Arabidopsis thaliana: one gene and its partner. The protein of the gene in region 1 interacts with the protein of each later gene in a pairwise test. Each region holds a gene or a part of one and is shown in the gene's direction. Other genes may lie near its edges.

Region 1 (3,837 bases):
TATTTATTTTCTATTCACATGTACTTACAAACAAAAACTTAAAGACTTTGCAATTTGCGTTACGAATATTTTTCGTCAGGCTGTAATTTGAAAAGTCTTCTAGATGATTTCAAGTCTCTGCTTAATGTGCCAACTAGGCTCTATGTCACTACTTTGTGTTGTCTCTAATTCTCATTCTTCTTGACAAGACCAAACATATCACTAATGATGAAGAGATGACTAATATTTGTTTATACATTTGCTTGTAATGAAGACATGTAGTATAGCAAAGCACCATATAATATAGTGATAGCATTCTATTAATTTGTTCTTTTTTACAGCCGAAGAAGAAGAGTATAAGAAACATGTTTAAGATTCAGCCTTAAACAAGTGAAGAAAAAACAAAAAGAAAGGCTCAACGAATGGGAACTTTGATCCAACCATTGGCAAAAGCAATGGCTAAGATGACGAATGGAGTTGACATACCGAATATGATAATGTAAGGAAGAGGCGTCTTCATCGGATTCTCTCCTTCTCTTTCTCCAACGCTTTGCCAATACCTACAAAATTCCAATGCAATCCTCATCCATAACCATTTCTTCAATCACAATTGCATGTTTATGAAAAATGAACATGCAAGAATTTAAGTTCTTTTTCTATTTTAAAAGAGTTTAGTTCTTTTGACTAAACTACAACCCAAATATTTTTATTCTTTTGCTAACACGGATTTGAGTCTGGATATTGATACAATACTAACACAATGTCACAAACCACCAGTCTACATGTCATTGACACATACAAAAAAAAAAACTACTTAAATTCTGCAATGGAGACTAAAATTTTTGTATTAAATTGGTAACCTACATATCGTTTTGTAATTTTCCATGTTTTCATCAATTTCCTAGGTTTGTTTTTCTGTGATTTTGCAAAATTACATTACCATTCTATGAGTTTCTGTTATTTTCTACAATCTCATGATGAAAATTGAGAATTAAGATTAACTTACTGTTCAGGTTCTTCCTCTTTGGTTATAAACTTTTTCTTATCTTTAGGCTTCACTTCTCCATCTCCTCCACCTTATGCAATAACCAAAGATTAACAAAATTTACATCTACAAACAAATAAAAGATATAAGAGTACCTAATTTGGCATGAAGCTTGAATTCTGGGAATCCTAATGGTGATGGTGGACAAAAGAATTGAGGTAAAGCAAGCAATGATGAATATGAAGAAGATGATGAAGTTGAGGAATCACTAGCCCTGTGGCTAAACGAAGAAGAAGAAATTCGAAATTTCGCTGCCATTTCCAACAACTATATGGATGTGATAGAATATTTTTACATTTTATTTTTCTGTTATTCACTTATACATTTGGATGTGATAGAATATTTTTTTCTGAACACACAGATCTTATCTTCACCGATATATTAGCTGAAGCCTGATACATTTACATTCCTTATTTATTTTTTATTCACATGTATGTACTAATAAACAAAACTTAAAGACTTTGTATTATGCGTTACGAATATTTTTCGTCAGGATTGAAAAGTCAACCCTAGGCCTTTAGCTTCCTTCTTTTATATAAACAGAGAAACAAAACACTTTCTTTCTCAGCCTCTCTGTTTCATCTTCTTCTCTAAACTCTCAACATGTCTTGCTCGGCCACCGATCTCGCTGTCCTGTTGGGTCCTAATGCCACGGCGGCGGCCAACTACATCTGTGGCCAGTTAGGCGACGTCAACAACAAATTTATCGACACCGCTTTCGCTATAGACAACACTTACCTTCTCTTCTCCGCCTACCTTGTCTTCTCTATGCAGCTTGGCTTCGCTATGCTCTGTGCCGGTTCCGTGAGAGCCAAGAATACTATGAACATCATGCTTACCAACGTCCTTGACGCTGCAGCCGGTGGTCTCTTCTATTATCTGTTTGGCTACGCCTTTGCCTTTGGATCTCCGTCCAATGGTTTCATCGGTAAACACTACTTTGGTCTCAAAGACATCCCCACGGCCTCTGCTGACTACTCCAACTTTCTCTACCAATGGGCCTTTGCAATCGCTGCGGCTGGAATCACAAGTGGCTCGATCGCTGAACGGACACAGTTCGTGGCTTACCTAATCTATTCCTCTTTCTTAACCGGGTTTGTTTACCCGGTCGTCTCTCACTGGTTCTGGTCAGTTGATGGATGGGCCAGCCCGTTCCGTACCGATGGAGATTTGCTTTTCAGCACCGGAGCGATAGATTTCGCTGGGTCCGGTGTTGTTCATATGGTCGGAGGTATCGCTGGACTCTGGGGTGCGCTCATCGAAGGTCCACGACTTGGCCGGTTCGATAACGGAGGCCGTGCCATCGCTCTTCGTGGCCACTCGGCGTCACTTGTTGTCCTTGGAACATTCCTCCTCTGGTTTGGATGGTACGGATTTAACCCCGGTTCCTTCAACAAGATCCTAGTCACGTACGAGACAGGCACATACAACGGCCAGTGGAGCGCGGTCGGACGGACAGCTGTCACAACAACGTTAGCTGGCTGCACCGCGGCGCTGACAACCCTATTTGGGAAACGTCTACTCTCGGGACATTGGAACGTCACTGATGTATGCAACGGCCTCCTCGGAGGGTTTGCAGCCATAACTGGTGGCTGCTCTGTCGTTGAGCCATGGGCTGCGATCATCTGCGGGTTCGTGGCGGCCCTAGTCCTCCTCGGATGCAACAAGCTCGCTGAGAAGCTCAAATACGACGACCCTCTTGAGGCAGCACAACTACACGGTGGTTGCGGTGCGTGGGGACTAATATTCACGGCTCTCTTCGCTCAAGAAAAGTACTTGAACCAGATTTACGGCAACAAACCCGGAAGGCCACACGGTTTGTTTATGGGCGGTGGAGGAAAACTACTTGGAGCTCAGCTGATTCAGATCATTGTGATCACGGGTTGGGTAAGTGCGACCATGGGGACACTTTTCTTCATCCTCAAGAAAATGAAATTGTTGCGGATATCGTCCGAGGATGAGATGGCCGGTATGGATATGACCAGGCACGGTGGTTTTGCTTATATGTACTTTGATGATGATGAGTCTCACAAAGCCATTCAGCTTAGGAGAGTTGAGCCACGATCTCCTTCTCCTTCTGGTGCTAATACTACACCTACTCCGGTTTGATTTGGATTTTTACTTTTATTCTCTATTTTCTAGAGTATTATTTTAAATGATGTTTTGTGATACTTAAATATTGTTTTGGATATTTTTTTGCATTTCAGTAATGTTTTAGATGTACAGTTTCATGGGGTTGTGATGATAATATCTATGTGGTCATTTGTGTTCTCTTTGGAGTTTTTTCTATAACGCTTTTTTCAAATTTTATGATCATTATTTGCTGCATTCTAGATAAGCAATTAGGAATGTGAAGCATGGACTAAGTAAAAGCCTGACCGTTTTTAAGTTTGGACTTTTGATATAGCTCATACTTTTTTGATATTAGTTCATACTTATTGCTTTAAATAGCTAAAAAGTCTAAAACAAACCTTGCATTGACGCAATAGATATAAATAACTCGAAGTATTGCTTTCTAGAAGCATTAACAATTTGGTAAAACGAAGTTGAACCATTTACTCAAGCATAATAATCAGAAATGACAATCTTTCATGTCTGATGCAAATAAATAATAATTTATGGAAATAATTTCTATGTCTTACATCACTAATTAGACTTTTAGATGCTTGCAAGTTTGAAGTTTCAGCAGAAGTAGGTGCTTTTACAAACTCTTTTTTGTTTTAATTTGATAAAGTGTGTTTTTACAAACTCTGTTTTATTTTATTTTGAAAAAGTGTGTTTTTACAAACTTTCAACCAACCTATTCACGAATC
Region 2 (7,248 bases), on another chromosome or scaffold:
CCACGGACATTCCAAAAGAAACCCGACATAAAAATTATTTCTTTTTATGAGCCCTATGACCTGAAACACTAGGGTTACCCTTCGTGTTTTGATTCGCAGAGCTTTTGACCACCTTATGCTGAGACTTTGAGATTCGTGGGATGTACGGACGAGTCCCTTGAACACCAACTGAATCTGAATTATCATTTAATTGTTGGGAGAGAACAACAATTTCTCCTTCCTCATGACCGTTTGTGTCAGCCGTGTCCTCCTCCACTGCTAGGACATCAAAACGAGAAGGAGACGCATGATTAACTACTTCTTGAGGTTGAGGACTCCTCTGCCTGCCTACCTTAGCAGGCGATACCGTGTGCCAGGGACCTTCGTCCTTCAAATTTTCCTCGTTTTCCTCTGCAACTTCCTTTCCCTTATTCTGTAAAACAGTCGGATTCTTCATTGGAACTTTCTGAGTGTGAGAATCACCGTTTAGCGTTTTTGTCAAAGTAGCCGAAGGAGATTTCGATAGTATTTCGAGAGGTTTTTCTTTCATGAGAGGAGGCTCTGTTTTATCCTCTGTTTCTATCTCCGTTGGTGTGGATAGCTGATTGGGTGATGGACGCGTTAGACAAACCTCTTGTATATGTCCCCACTTAGAGCATGAAGAGCATCTCGGCGGCAACCAAGGATACTTATATTCGACCATTGCATCAACGCCAGTTTCAGATTTAAAGCGGAATTGTTTTGGCATTTCCTGTGTTAAATCTGCTTCTACAAATACCTTAGCTTCCTCAAAACTGTTGCACAGAACTGTGTCAGGGTGAAGCTTTTTTGGTTCCCCAATAGGACTTGCAAGAAAACTCAGACCCTTCCAAGTAAACATTGAGCGTGGAACATTTTTAATGGTGATCCACATTGGCATTGTTTTAATTTCTGGCTGAGCATCCTCAGCAACCGGGGACCATTTAGAAACGATCATAGGCATGTCAGCTATGTTCCACATTCCTCTGCGAAGAACCCTAGCTCGGACTGAACTCTCTCTGATTCGGAATTTGATTGTTTTAGTGTCTACCACATATGCGTCAATCTTTACCGTCTTGTCTCCAAGTGGCCAGATCTTGTTCACAATAACGTGAACTTTTGCAATATGCGGAGATATTTGTGGAAACCGCCCTATGAGCAAATCATCCCACAATGGTGTTGAATCTTCAAAGATTTCATTTGGGACTTGGACAATCGAATCACCGTTGACCATTGTTACGTTGAATTCATGCTTCGAAAGGGTTGGTCTATTCTGAACAATTGATGAGTATGATGGTTTGGTCGTTTCTGGGGAAGCTTCTGAACTTTTCGATGTGCTCTCCACCACCATCGCCGTCGACATGATGGGGGAAGACGGCGGAAAAGCCGCCAGATCTGCCAGATTGGGACACACGGTAGTGAAACCCTAAATCGCCTTCAAAATCGCCCTGCCACGTCAGCCCTAATTTTTTACCTTTGATTGATTGGTCTATGATTAGTTTGCCGCTGAAAAAATCAACAAAATATAATGTGTCAGTGAATAACATGATTTTTCTTTTTAATCAAAAAACATGATCTTTGTATACTAATTCTGAAACTTAATTATATATATTCGATCCAATCTAGTAAACTAGTTTATAGGACGGGATCCAAACGAAATACTTATCCACGAAAGAAACCTTTATATATCTTTGTGCTCGAAAGTTTTCTCATTCGTTATTTTGGTGGCTGACTACTAAATGAAGATATACCAAATGATTTTTCTTCACTCAAGCAATTTAAGCACATAGACAAAGTAAGATCATCTGGCGATAAACCATACATTCGTGGAGGAAATATTCCTACACATGACGAGTCTCCTGAACATATACAACTATTCAACACCAGATTGATTATTTCCACGATCATTATTTAATTTTCTACCCGGAGTTGACTTTTGTATATTTCATTCCAACTTATACATGAGGTATCTCTCAGTTCCATATCTTTTGCAGTTTTCCCTAAGCAAGTCTTTGTTTTTTCTTGAGTACTAGAGAAACCGGATAGTGATCGAGAGAGAACATGAAGATTCACCTTTTGTTGGCCATGATTGGAACCTTTGTCGTTATAATTGGAGCCCAGGATCAAGAAGGTAATGATATATACCATCTCTTTCTTGTTTATAAATCAATCCTTTGACTTGTGATATGTTATATAAGAATGTATCAATATCACTTTTCCCATTTATTGCTTTTATATTTGAACAGGTTTCATCAGTTTAGATTGTGGATTACCTAGTGACGAATCTCCTTACGATGATTCGTTTAACGGATTAACATTCACATCGGATTCCACTTTCATCCAAACAGGAAAAATTGATAGTGTCGATAAAGATCTTAACATAAACTTATCAAAACAATATTTGACTCTTAGATACTTCCCAGAAGGAAAACGTAATTGTTATAGTCTTGATGTCAAGCGTGGCACAACTTATCTCATCGTGGTTAGCTTTGTATATGGAAATTATGATGGTCTTAACCGTGATCCAAACTTCGATATCCATCTTGGTCCCAATAAGTGGAAAAGAATAGATTTGGATGGAGAGAAAGAAGGTACAAGAGAAGAGATCATACACAAAGCCAGGTCAAACTCTTTGGATATTTGTCTTGTTAAGACAGGAGAAACTTTGCCAATAATTTCAGCCATAGAAATACGGCCACTAAGGAATAATACGTATGTTACACAATCTGGTTCGCTGATGATGTCTTTCCGGGTTTATCTTAGCAATTCAGATGCATCTATAAGGTAAGTCAATCTATTTGAAGCATTCAATGTGACGTTTTTCTTTTGAATAAAATTTAACATTATTCTTTTAAAAAATGTGAGGTTTTTCTCTCTTTTTTTTTCTGGAGAAGATATGAATGAGGGGATATGTTGACTTTACTTGTGTTAAAAACATCATTGTTGAATGATGTGTTCAAAATTTTAAGACTCCAACGTAACTACATTATGCCAAAACTATATGGCAAGTCATTGTAACAATTGAACAAAGAACTAAGAACAACGAACTAGAAATAAAAGATACTAATATGAGCTAAGAAAACAAATTTTTTTTTTCTTTTTTTTGTTCACAATTAAAACTAAATTAATTAATTGAAAGAAAATAAGCAAGAACCAAACAACCAAATCAAACATACAAAAGACTAACATTATTGTAAATCAAACTAAACAAGCAACGATAAATGAAATTGAATGATTGAATTCATTATTAAAAAAACGAGCCAAGGTGATTGACTCGGATAGTTGCCAACTAACTTAGTTTTTGGTATCTTAGTTTCATAGACTAGTATTTGGCTAATACAATTTACTTATTAATTTATGTGGCTAATAAAATTTATTGTAGGTATGCTGATGACGTCCATGATCGTATTTGGTCTCCATTCAACGGATCTTCACATACACATATAACAACTGATCTCAATATAAACAACTCAAATGCATATGAGATTCCAAAAAATATACTCCAAACTGCTGCCATACCAAGAAACGCCAGTGCGCCGCTGATTATTACGTGGGATCCACTACCCATTAATGCGGAGGTATACTTGTACATGCACTTTGCGGAGATTCAAACCCTTGAAGCCAACGAGACGAGGCAGTTTGACGTTATCTTGAGAGGAAACTTTAATCATTCAGGATTTAGTCCAACCAAGTTAAAGGTATTTACATTATACACAGAAGAACCAATGAAATGTGGTTCAGAAGGTTGTTATTTACAGCTAGTAAAAACACCGAACTCAACTCTGCCACCTCTGATCAACGCTATTGAGGCATACAGTGTTATCGAGTTCTCACAATTGGAAACAAGTCTTAGTGATGGTACGTACCTCTCAGCTTTCAATATTACAGGAATGTAACTTATATTATAAAGTATAAGCTATGATATTGATTCTTACATTATATTATAAAGTATGATATTGATTGTTACGTTCTCTTAATAATTGTGTCAGTGGACGCTATCAAGAACATCAAAAATACTTATAAGCTGAATAAAATCACTTGGCAAGGAGATCCATGTCTCCCTCAAGATTTGTCGTGGGAAAGTATTAGATGCACCTACGTAGATGGCTCCACTTCACCAACAATCATTTCCTTGTAATGTCATTCACAAACTTACTCTTTAATTTAAAATTTAAATATCTAAATATTTTGTATGTGTTTTTGTATTATTAGAGATTTGTCGAAAAGTGGATTAAATGGGAGTATACCCCAAATTTTACAAAATTTCACGCAATTACAAGAACTGTAAGTATCTCTACTGTTGATCACCTGAACCAATAATGATTTATTTGGACAGAATATGTAAGACAATTTCTTTTGTTTGTGCATATAACCACAGGGACTTATCAAATAATAGCTTGACTGGACCGGTGCCTATCTTCCTTGCCAACATGAAAACGTTATCTTTAATGTAAGCTATCTAAAAAGCATAAATGAACATTTTGACCTGCGTATGTATGTATATATAATGGTTATCTTTGTCTCAACAGAAACTTAAGTGGGAACAATCTCAGTGGTTCAGTTCCTCAAGCTCTTCTTGACAAAGAAAAAGAAGGACTTGTGTTAAAGTAAGATTTCCTTTTCCATAGAGGGAATGCATTTACTAATCATATAGTAACAAAGTAGAGGAACTTCATTTTTGGAGACTATTTAACTGCTAGATCTTTCTTAATTAAGAGAGTTCATGTCGATTAAATTATCGCAAAATATGGTACCTGACAGTTCGATTATTGCCTTTCCTATGCAAGCTATTTACAATTTCAAAATATGTCATATTCATTGTAGACTTGAAGGAAATCCAGATTTGTGCAAATCCAGTTTTTGCAATACCGAAAAGAAAAATAAATTCTTGCTCCCGGTTATTGCATCAGCTGCCTCTTTGGTTATTGTAGTTGTGGTTGTGGCTCTTTTTTTTGTCTTCCGAAAGAAGAAGGCCAGCCCTTCAAGTAAGTTATGAGCCATTAATAATTTGTTTACCTGCTATAAAGCAATGCATATAGTTAGCATATAACCAAATATACTATCATATGTAGATCTACATGCTCCACCAAGTATGCCTGTATCGAATCCCGGGCACAATAGTCAATCAGAATCATCATTCACATCGAAAAAAATTAGGTTTACTTACTCTGAGGTTCAAGAAATGACAAATAACTTCGATAAAGCTCTCGGTGAAGGAGGATTTGGAGTCGTGTATCATGGTTTTGTTAATGTTATTGAACAAGTAGCAGTTAAATTGCTATCACAATCATCTTCTCAAGGCTATAAGCATTTCAAGGCAGAGGTACCCTTTTTCTAGTAATTCTCAATAGATATCCAATTGATTTGTATATCTCTAAGAGTGTTGGATGATGGATGATTGGTTAGGTGGAACTCCTTATGAGAGTTCACCATATAAATTTGGTGAGTCTTGTTGGGTATTGTGATGAAGGAGAACACTTGGCTCTTATTTATGAATACATGCCAAATGGAGACTTAAAGCAACATTTGTCAGGTAATATCACATATATAATTGTTTTCTTAATAAAACCTAACCATGATATAATTTTTTTTTCTGAATAATTAAAGATCATAACTAAATTGATATGAAGTGTGTTTAATTGATACAGGAAAGCATGGCGGATTCGTCCTGAGCTGGGAAAGTAGACTAAAAATAGTTTTGGATGCAGCACTAGGTATTCATTAAACTTTAAGACAAATGTTTAGTTAATAATTACAGCTTTTATGGGTATTAGTATGGCCTCGACCGGATCAGAAAGGAACCATATGATGATATCGAAATTAATCTCCATTTTCCAATAAACGATGGTATTAAATTTAATATGTAGGATTGGAGTATTTACATACTGGATGTGTACCACCAATGGTTCACAGAGATATCAAAACTACGAATATACTTCTAGATCAACATCTCCAAGCTAAATTAGCTGATTTTGGGCTTTCAAGATCTTTTCCCATCGGAAATGAGAAAAATGTGTCAACTGTTGTTGCTGGTACTCCTGGATATCTTGATCCTGAGTGAGTATAACTTCATATGTTAGTTCCAAAATCACCATTCCTTTTTTTTACTTTACAATCACAACAATTTCTTGTTTTGCAGGTATTATCAAACAAATTGGTTGACAGAAAAGAGTGATATATACAGTTTCGGAATTGTACTGTTAGAGATAATTTCAAACCGTCCTATAATCCAGCAATCCCGTGAAAAGCCTCACATAGTGGAATGGGTCAGTTTTATGATAACAAAAGGAGATCTTAGAAGTATTATGGATCCAAACCTCCACCAAGATTATGATATTGGTTCTGTCTGGAAGGCCATTGAATTAGCAATGTCATGTGTGAGTCTTTCTTCTGCAAGACGACCAAACATGTCTCGAGTTGTGAATGAATTAAAAGAATGTCTTATATCCGAAACCTCTAGGATAGGTGAGGGACGAGACATGGAATCAAAAGGTTCAATGGAATTCAGCAGAGACATTTATAATGAGGTAATACCTCAAGCTCGCTAGCTCGTCAAAATTTATTCTTGCTGGTTTTTCTTCTCATGAATATTCAAATTTGTGTGTTTCAAGAGTGTCTTTCGCCAATAATAACTAAGGCTTTCACTAATAACATGTAATACTGATGTTGAATTGTCGTAGTGTGATATATATTTTGTGAAATACATATGGTGAAATTTATTGAAATTATTTCATGAATTTGTAACCCACAACTAATTCTCGTCTTTGTTTCTATCTCAAGAAATGCATTAGGTTGTTCCCACTTTCGGTATTTTGAAAACCAAAGGAAGAGTTGAATATACCAAAACTTATGTATTTCCTTCAAAACTTAAGAGCTGTTTATATTTCCTTCAAAAGAAGATAAATAAAGAAGATATAAATGGTCTAATAAACCAAAAGTTGGTCAAAATTTAGTCTAAATATAAAACATGAACGTAATAGAACTTGTTTACAAGCGTATATCTCGTTGATCCTGAGTTTAATAAGATGTATAATAGTAAATGTTACGAAGAACTCCAATAATGAAATATCACAAGACAGATTTATCTTGTGGAGAGGGTTCATCATGTAAATGTTTTTTTTTTTTTCACCATGTAAAGTTGGTAATTCTTGTTGTATATTGTTTTAACGAAGACACACTTCGACCTAGTCTAGTACACAACCAGTGGAGATTTAAAACAACATCTATCATTCAAATTGGACAAAGAAATAA

What was found. The genes of interacting proteins can lie anywhere in the genome.
Region 2: the proteins of AMT1;1 (region 1) and AT2G28990 interact in a protein complementation assay, tested with the Arabidopsis thaliana proteins (one study listed by BioGRID).

The regions. Positions count from the first base shown.
Region 1 is NC_003075.7:7,856,593-7,860,429, forward strand, and holds AMT1;1 (ammonium transporter 1;1), read left to right. Parts: upstream 1-1,590; 5' UTR 1,591-1,627; coding exon 1,628-3,133; 3' UTR 3,134-3,326; downstream 3,327-3,837. Other genes in the region: AT4G13500 (uncharacterized protein), read right to left, coding at 395-539, 986-1,055, 1,120-1,282. UniProt on the Arabidopsis thaliana protein: High affinity ammonium transporter probably involved in ammonium uptake from the soil, long-distance transport to the shoots and re-uptake of apoplastic ammonium that derives from photorespiration in shoots.
Region 2 is NC_003071.7:12,452,997-12,460,244, forward strand, and holds AT2G28990 (Leucine-rich repeat protein kinase family protein), read left to right. Parts: upstream 1-1,640; 5' UTR 1,641-2,058; coding exon 2,059-2,128; intron 2,129-2,243; coding exon 2,244-2,781; intron 2,782-3,379; coding exon 3,380-3,855; intron 3,856-3,986; coding exon 3,987-4,131; intron 4,132-4,209; coding exon 4,210-4,281; intron 4,282-4,375; coding exon 4,376-4,447; intron 4,448-4,526; coding exon 4,527-4,604; intron 4,605-4,821; coding exon 4,822-4,982; intron 4,983-5,069; coding exon 5,070-5,320; intron 5,321-5,403; coding exon 5,404-5,530; intron 5,531-5,645; coding exon 5,646-5,711; intron 5,712-5,864; coding exon 5,865-6,054; intron 6,055-6,136; coding exon 6,137-6,545; 3' UTR 6,546-6,709; downstream 6,710-7,248.